Linked DNA regions of Oryza sativa Japonica Group. Each later gene encodes a partner of the first gene's protein in a complex. Links are inferred from orthologs where the notes say so. Each region holds a gene or a part of one and is shown in the gene's direction. Other genes may lie near its edges.

Evidence for each region.
Region 2: photosynthetic NDH subunit of lumenal location 1, chloroplastic (region 1) and photosynthetic NDH subunit of subcomplex B 5, chloroplastic share a complex: the UniProt entries of both Arabidopsis thaliana proteins name them as parts of the chloroplast NDH complex. The link is inferred for Oryza sativa Japonica Group from reciprocal best matches to the Arabidopsis thaliana genes PnsL1 and PnsB5.

What each region holds. Positions count from the first base shown.
Region 1 is NC_089037.1:9,604,753-9,608,372, forward strand, and holds photosynthetic NDH subunit of lumenal location 1, chloroplastic, read left to right. Parts: upstream 1-1,212; 5' UTR 1,213-1,332; coding exon 1,333-1,374; intron 1,375-1,450; coding exon 1,451-1,547; intron 1,548-1,633; coding exon 1,634-1,717; intron 1,718-1,860; coding exon 1,861-1,934; intron 1,935-2,044; coding exon 2,045-2,167; intron 2,168-2,299; coding exon 2,300-2,371; intron 2,372-2,556; coding exon 2,557-2,653; intron 2,654-2,806; coding exon 2,807-2,916; 3' UTR 2,917-3,120; downstream 3,121-3,620. Other genes in the region: E3 ubiquitin-protein ligase CSU1, read left to right, coding at 29-707. UniProt on the Arabidopsis thaliana protein: NDH shuttles electrons from NAD(P)H:plastoquinone, via FMN and iron-sulfur (Fe-S) centers, to quinones in the photosynthetic chain and possibly in a chloroplast respiratory chain.
Region 2 is NC_089035.1:41,426,965-41,431,235, forward strand, and holds photosynthetic NDH subunit of subcomplex B 5, chloroplastic, read left to right. Parts: upstream 1-1,471; 5' UTR 1,472-2,249; coding exon 2,250-2,531; intron 2,532-2,696; coding exon 2,697-2,751; intron 2,752-2,879; coding exon 2,880-2,948; intron 2,949-3,090; coding exon 3,091-3,149; intron 3,150-3,251; coding exon 3,252-3,488; 3' UTR 3,489-3,832; downstream 3,833-4,271. Other genes in the region: uncharacterized protein, read left to right, coding at 53-124, 202-302, 562-679, 780-839, 932-1,042, 1,225-1,323; serine/threonine-protein kinase-like protein ACR4, read right to left, coding at 4,062-4,271. UniProt on the Arabidopsis thaliana protein: NDH shuttles electrons from NAD(P)H:plastoquinone, via FMN and iron-sulfur (Fe-S) centers, to quinones in the photosynthetic chain and possibly in a chloroplast respiratory chain.

The sequences.
Region 1 (3,620 bases):
TTCTGAGTGTTAATTCTTGTTCTTCCAGCAAACTTGCTGCTCATGAGGCCCAGAAAAAGCTGGAGAAGGAAGAGGAGGATGAGAAGCGTATGCTGCAAAAGTCCAAGGAGTTGGACGCTTTTGATCAGCAGAATCATGGAGCCGTCCCCCAATACCACGATCGCAGCGGCTCTGAAGACAAGAATGGTTTTCATGGAGCAAACAGCGTGAAGGTTACTTCCTTTGAGGAGGAAGCCCTTCGCAACATGAAGGCATTCTGGCTTCCATCAGCTACACCTGAAGCTACTGCCAAAGTAGAAGCTCCCTCCACTGACACAATCTGCCCCGAGGGACAGGAGAAGCTCAAGTTGAAATCGCTCTTCCCTATCTCCTTCACTGAAGAAAACACCGACCAGAAAAACAAGAAGTCGGTGGAGAAGAGCTACATGTGCCCCAGTTGCAAGTCTACCCTAACAAACACCATGTCCCTGGTGACGATCAGCACGTGTGGCCATGTCTTCTGCAAGAAGTGCTCTGACAAGTTCCTTGTAACTGATAAGGTCTGCTTGGTGTGCAACAAACCGTGCAAGGAGAGGAATTTCGTTCCTTTGGAAAAAGGAGGAACTGGATTCGCTGCCCATGATGAGCGTCTAGAGGCGAGAGATTTCAAGCATTTGGGGAGTGGTTCTGGACTGGGTTTAGTGAAACCTGCCCCAAAGAACTACTAGCCTCAAAATATCTTAGCTGCTGTTGTATATTATTTATGTTAACCTGAAAATTTTGTTTCAAGCATCCCCTTTCGCTGTGAACAGTCTGGAGCAAATTCAGTCTTGTTATGCTAGTGGCACTATGGTTGCTAATTGCAGCTTTGCTTATTTGCTATGGCTAAATGCGTTAGTTCGCAGCTGTTGTACTATTTATCTACCAAGTTTGAAGCACAGTCAAAATCATCTTTCTTGTTACATCGAAGCTATCGAATATGTATCGCATGATCTGATGGTAGGATCGTGTGTGTGTGTGTGTACATATATTGTTTTTCAGCCAAAGTCAATGTACAAAAAAAAAGGTAAAAAGAGAATTGGAAAAACATAAAGCTCTCACATATCTCCACCACAATCACAACAGGAACGGATTGGTCCCATTTTGTCAGTCAGTGCTCAGTACGAGACAAGGCCAAAAGTTCTAATGAGGATAATGGAAATGCTGACCTGGCTTCCTTGCCCTCCACTCACACAGACACACAGACTACACTTGAAAAGCGAACGAGCCAGTCCTAGCAGCAAAGGATAACTTGACTGGAGGAAGGCAAGAACACGTATTTTCTTCAGGTTCATAGCTACTCCTGCAGGTGAAATGGCAAGCCTGCAGAATTTGATCTGCTCCGTTTCCAAGCAGGTGTGTGCTTGTGCCCTCTTCTCATCGTTTTCTGAATCTTGTTTATTTCACCACTTTATATCGGTGTTGTTTTCAGTTGGTTGCTCCAAATTGTGCTGTTACCAGCAAGCTGAATGCGTCTCCTCTGTCAGTCGTCAACGCTAGCTCGAGTGAAGCATCCTCGGATGAAAAGAGTAAATTCCTCTCTGTCAGTTCTCTCGATGCATTTTGTTTCTGAAGATTAACATTTTTTTTGGCTGATTATCTCTCCATCTTACAGATGTGACAAGGAGGAGATTAGCTCTGCTTGGTGCTGGAGCATTAGCCACTGGTCTGCTAAAGAGCAGCTCTGCATATGCTGAAGGCATGGCCATCTGAACTGTCGCATGGTTTTATTTCAGTACTAGGTTGTCTGCATGTTACATACAAGTTCCCACTTCTCAAGTAGCCATTAAGCCTTTATGGCACCATGAGATGATACTAACTCGGATTGTTCCTATATTCCAGAAGTGCCAAAGAATTACAAGTCTTATGTGGATTCAAAAGATGGATATTCATACCTGTATCCAGCTGATTGGAGGGTAGGTTGCAATATTTTCGTCTTGAAGAACAGAGATGTCAGTTCCAATGACTGTGTTTTCGGTGGTACATGGTATTGATGTATGCCCTTTGTTTTGATGTGTCACTTCAGGATTTCGACTTCCTGGGGCATGATTCAGCGTTCAAAGATCGTAATGTAGCGCTGCAGTGCGTGCGTGTGGGCTTCATTCCTACTACAAAAACAGATATCCGTGACCTTGGTCCAATGGATGAGGTAGGATTTCATGCGATATCTGATAATATCTTTCTTGGTAATGTAAAGGAATCAGGCAATTTTTTTAGCCTTTTCTTTTGTTATACATCATAGATTTTTTTTATTCTGACAATTTACATACTCCTCTATCAGGCGATCTTCAATTTGGTGAACAATGTTTATGCTGCTCCAAATCAAATACCAACTGTCTATGACATGCAAGAGGTTTGCCATTTATCCATCTCCTTCAATCAATACTATTTAGCCATATGATCTATCTGAGTATACCAAACTGTCGCTGCATTGCTCTTTCGCTGATTAATTTACGTCTGATCTCATTGGAATGGCTATAACAAAGACTGCAACAACTCTGCAAGCAAAATAAGCAACTGAGTTGTTGTGATTCGCAGCGCACCGTGGATGGCAAGAACTACTGGACATTTGAGTACGATCTTGAGGCCCCGGGCTACGGCGTGTCCGCATTTGCGACGGTTGCCATTGGAAACGGTATGATATTGATATGATGCCTCCTCACCACAAGATCGCAGAGATATATATCATCATCATCTATTAAATTGTATATTTCATCATGCATGTATTTTTTTTTCCTCTCATAAGAAGAAGCTGGTTAACCTGATGGCAATGGCAATGGCATGGCAGGTCGGTACTACACACTGATCGTGACGGCGAACGAGCGGCGATGGAGTAGGCTGAGGAACAGGCTCAAAGTCGTCGCCGACTCCTTCAAGCTGTCCGACCTCACCGCGTGATGGGAGGCAGTTCAATTGCAGAAATATCTTTTATTTTATTGCTTCGTAGTCATGTAGATACATACATACATACAGACGCTGATCTACCACTAGAAAAAGTGCTGGATCGAACACCCTGGCTCAGCTTCCAGGAAAAAGGATGCATAATTACCTTATAGACTTCAATTAATTAATTGTGTGTATGCTATTAGAGCTATTTTTCTATTATAGCCATCTAATTATGTTGATTGAATCGGTTCAACCATCAGTTGCAACTTGCAAGCGACGAGTAGCCATCAGTTAAAAAGGCAGACCATTAGGCCATAGTCTCCGGAGCCAAGGACTTAACAGATCAACAGCGTTTCTATACAGACGTGTGCACGATCAAACCAATACATTACAGAGGCGAAAGGAATCAAGTACACAGGCCTCAGAAAGAATGTTTGCAACTCATATATTACAACAATTACAATGCCCTCCAAACTTGCTAACTATTTCCAGAATAAGTTCCCCTCCAAACCCGCTAACTATTTCCAGAATAAGTTCCTAGAGTTTCAACAAAGCTAGTCATCTGAATCTTCAGACTAAAATTTTGTTGTCAAGACCAGGTCACCATTCCGCTCATTCAGAGCAGCGCCAGCGACACCTAACATTTTTCCTCCGACAAAACGGTAAGCCACAGAACCATGACCCCTGGCTGAACAGAGCGAAAAGGAACTTGATCA
Region 2 (4,271 bases), on another chromosome or scaffold:
TATTGCTTTCTTCAATTGGACTTATGCTGAAGAGAAATTATGACTGTTGCAGCCTGAGAAGAAAAATCCAAGCCTCACACCAATGGACTGGGTTCAGTTTATTGTTTCTGTTGTCATTGGACTTGTAAGTGGACTGGAACTGGTTGCACTTGATTGGGTTGTGATTCATCACCTGATGATTATTTTTTTCACATTGCTCAGGTTACACTTGTCAGTTCGCTCGAAATGCCTAAAGCTGATTTCTGGGTTGTAGTTGCCGTCCTTTCTGCCCTGGCTGGATATTGTGCCAAGATCTATTTATCGTGAGTGCCTTGGTTGATATATTTGTTTTGATTGGGTATTCGTCTTGTCATCTTGTCGGTAATCTGCATTGTGTATATAATAGAGCAGGGACAGGGAGGATTTTTGTTTACTCATCCAGCCAGAATTACTTTAGAATACCTCCATAAAATGCAGTTTTGCTTCCCTGATTCCTTCAGCATTTTCTTATTTATGATGATACTTTATTTGCTGTATTGGTTGTATTGGACAAATTTGGTAAATAAGCTACCTTTGATTCAGGTTTCAACAGAACATGGCAACATATCAAAACCTAATAACTCAATCAATGTATGACAAACAGCTAGATAGTGGGAAAGGCACACTTCTCCATCTCTGTGATGATGTGATTCAGCAGGAAGTAGGTCTCCATATTGTAGTACTTGATTCAGAATAAGCATATCAGAGACTTGTGCTCACAATTATTTTCATCTTTGTGGTTTCTGAATTCTGATGTCCAGGTCAAGGAGATTATAATTTCCTACTATATTTTGATGGAAAATGGAAAGGCGACTATTGAGGTATTGCTTTGGTATTTGAAACAAGCATGTTTTGTTTCTGAAGTTGTGCAAGTATAAAAATTGAGTTGAATATTCTTGGCACTCAATGCTAGGATCTTGACTTACAATGTGAAGAGTTAATCCAAGAAGAGTTTGGCTTGCAATGCAATTTTGAGGTGATGGATGCTGTTCAGAAGTTAGAGAGGCTTGGCATCATTACAAGAGTGAGTTCTTACAGCTTGTTACAGCAGTACCAAATCATAGTGAGATATATATCCCCAAAAAAAACTTAGATAAATTTCAGAATGTATAGAATCTAAAAGAATTTTTAAATGAAATACCATTATGTTGTTACTCGCATTTTCTCTATTTTAATCATGGATAATAAAGCCAGTGATGCTTGCAGGATTCTATTGGAAGAATATGCTGTCTATCTCTGAAGCGTGCCAATGAGATCATTGGCGCTACTACAGAAGAGCTGGTTATGAAGGCCAGACAAAGCTAGTTATCCAATTCTATTTGAACCAGGTAATCCTTTGGTGGACTCTAGGCTTCCATCATTAGATTGTTTCTGGTTTTTTGGATGGGACATTATATTGTTTCTGGAATACTCCAAGAAGTCCTGACACTGATTTCTTTGCAGTTTAGGGGGGCAATAGGTCCTGGACGGCTGCGGAATAATTCTCCGATGGAAGTTGAGCAGATATGCTATTGTTGTTCTGTTGTAGGACCTGCTGTATTATGCAATGTTTAATGCATGTTGTAAGAAATTTAGTTTCTTCTTGGAACAAAATGTGGAAAGATTTCAGTAAAAAAAAATGTGGAAAGAGGTTCATGAACTGCTGCCTTGTTTGTTCAGTTAATGAATACTCCTACAAGAAATGCAGCAGCCTGCTAACTCAAGGCACAAGAGCCAAGTATGACGCATAAAAAGCATACTGAAGCAGTGAAAAAGCGCTGCTGATGGTGCACTGTATCTCAGCCACTGAATCAGTGACGTCCGACACAGTGACACTGGGTTGCTGGTTCTTTTTCTGCTCTTTTCATTTACAAATCATGTCCTCATGTTGCAGTTGTCTTTTCCTTGTCTCTCCTGATGTGTAAAACACAAGGCTCTGTGCTTGCTGTTGCTAACAATTCAGATTCATCAGAATGCAATAATGTAGTACTAACAAATACTAGTTCTATTCATTCACAAGATTATCATGCATATCTGACCTGATTACTGACTGACTAATGAGGTGATGCAGATTTCTTTCCAGGCATGAAGAAAAAGAAAGAAAAGAGGAAAAAAGCAGCGAAAAATCCTGGACGGTACATGCCCCATACCCATTATCCTCTTGTTTTTGTCTCCTTGCAGCAAAGTATAAGTGCAGCAGCAGCTACCAGCTAAGCAAGAAGCGAGCAGCAGAGCTCAGCGTTTGGAGCGAGATGATGAGCAGCAGCAGCAGCTTGGTGTCCGCCATTTCTGCGTCACCGTCTGCCACTGCAAAAGCTCGCCTTCGTCATGACGATGCAGCAACAGCAACAGGAGCAGCAGCAGCAGCAGCAGTAGCAGCGAGGCAGCTAAAGACGGAGCATGGCGGCTGCTGCTGCTGCCGGAGCAGAGGCCGGGCGGTGGTGGCGAGGGCGGGGCCCGGGCCACTGACGGAGATCGAGCCCGACCTGAACGAGGACCCCATTGATAAGTGGCGCACCAACGGCGTCAGCCCGGTCTGTCCTCCTCGCCGTCGCCGGCCACCGTGTTGAGAATTTCATTATTTTTCTCTATTCCAAGCAGTTTCCATGGTTTCTTTGATTCTTTCTTCAGTGATTGCTGCTGCTGTGCTGTGTTGTCTGAAGAAATGGTTTTGACACTGAAAAGAATCTGCTTTGCAGGACGACTTCGAGTATGGAGTGTATGATGGTCACCACACATATAATGAAACCCAAGGTTCTTTTTCTGGGCTATCTTATCCAGTTATCCATTCCTTGAATCAAAATGCGTAATCATGCTCATGTGTGCTAATTTCTGATTCTTATGTGATATGATGTGGAAAAAAAAATCATTTGACACTGAAGATAAGAAGGGCTTTTGGGAGGATGTCTCTGAGTGGTACCAAGAAGCTGAACCTCCTCAGGGCTTCCAAGGTAGTAACAGCCAAATTCCTTTCTCACTTGGATAAATCAGAGAAAAATCAGATTCTTTCAGATAAATCAGAGAAAAAAAATCAGATCTTTCTTCTCTTAAGACAAGCTTGCTCAATTTGCACTGATGGGCCATCTCTTGCAGCACTGATCTCCTGGTTGTTTCCTCCTGCAATCATCCTTGGCATGGCCTTCAATGTTCCGGTAACATATTGAGCAGTAGTTCCAGCCTACTGACATGTATCACATTTCACAATCTGTCTTGGCTCTTGAGCTCTCTGAATATGTGTCTACTTCTGCCACTAGGGGGAGTACCTCTACATCGGCGCAGCAGTGTTCGTCGTCGTGTTCTGCGTTATCGAGATGGACAAACCGGACAAGCCACACAACTTTGAGCCGGAGATCTACATGATGGAGAGATCGGCTCGCGACAAGCTCATCGCCGACTACAACACCATGGACATCTGGGACTTCAACGAGAAGTACGGCGAGCTCTGGGACTTCACCGTCGACAGAAGAGATGAGATTGTGAAATCGTCTTAGATATGGTATTCAGAAATGGGGGGTCACATTTGTTAGATGCAGCTGCAGAAACAGTTCAGAAAATCAGAACCACTCCAAAGAAAAGCAGGGTGGCAAAGCTGCAAGATGAGTCTCTTCAAAATAAAGAACTTTGAGATGAAATGATGTGTGTATGGATCATCTCATCTACTGTAAGGCCTGCTTTCTATGTCTCTGACAGTCTCAACTCTGAAGTTCTCAGCCAGGTACAAAAGGAGACTGAAAATTCTGTCATGTGTATTTTGTTTTCCCCCCAATGTAATGGAGAAAATCCTGTGAATGACATCACTAATTCAATAGATATATATAGTAGTATAATGGAATAACTTTGGCATCAGCCTCCAATATTATCAATATGTAAAAGAAAAGGAAATATCATTCTTTTCTTGTACAGGAAAAGGAATAAAGGGAACCTCACAGCTGTTCCTTTTTTGTACACTTGAGTTACAGCTGAATCACTATGAAGACCAAAGAAAAGAGAGAGAGAAATAATAAATGGAAAGGGAATTGCTAGTCTATAACTCTGATGATGAGAGGAAACTAGCTAGTTCTTCTTCAACCTGATGTTGTGAAGAGCTGACTACCTAGAGTCACAGTTGGTGTGCTTTCTGGCATGATTGTGGTCATCCTCATCTCTTGCTCGCGAATTCGGTTTATCTCCGCCTCCACCAAGTTCATCGATGGGCGATGCTCGCTCGTCGGGTTCACGCACCACGATGTCAACCGCAGAAATTCTCTCATGCCTTCTGAGGTATAGGCACTGGC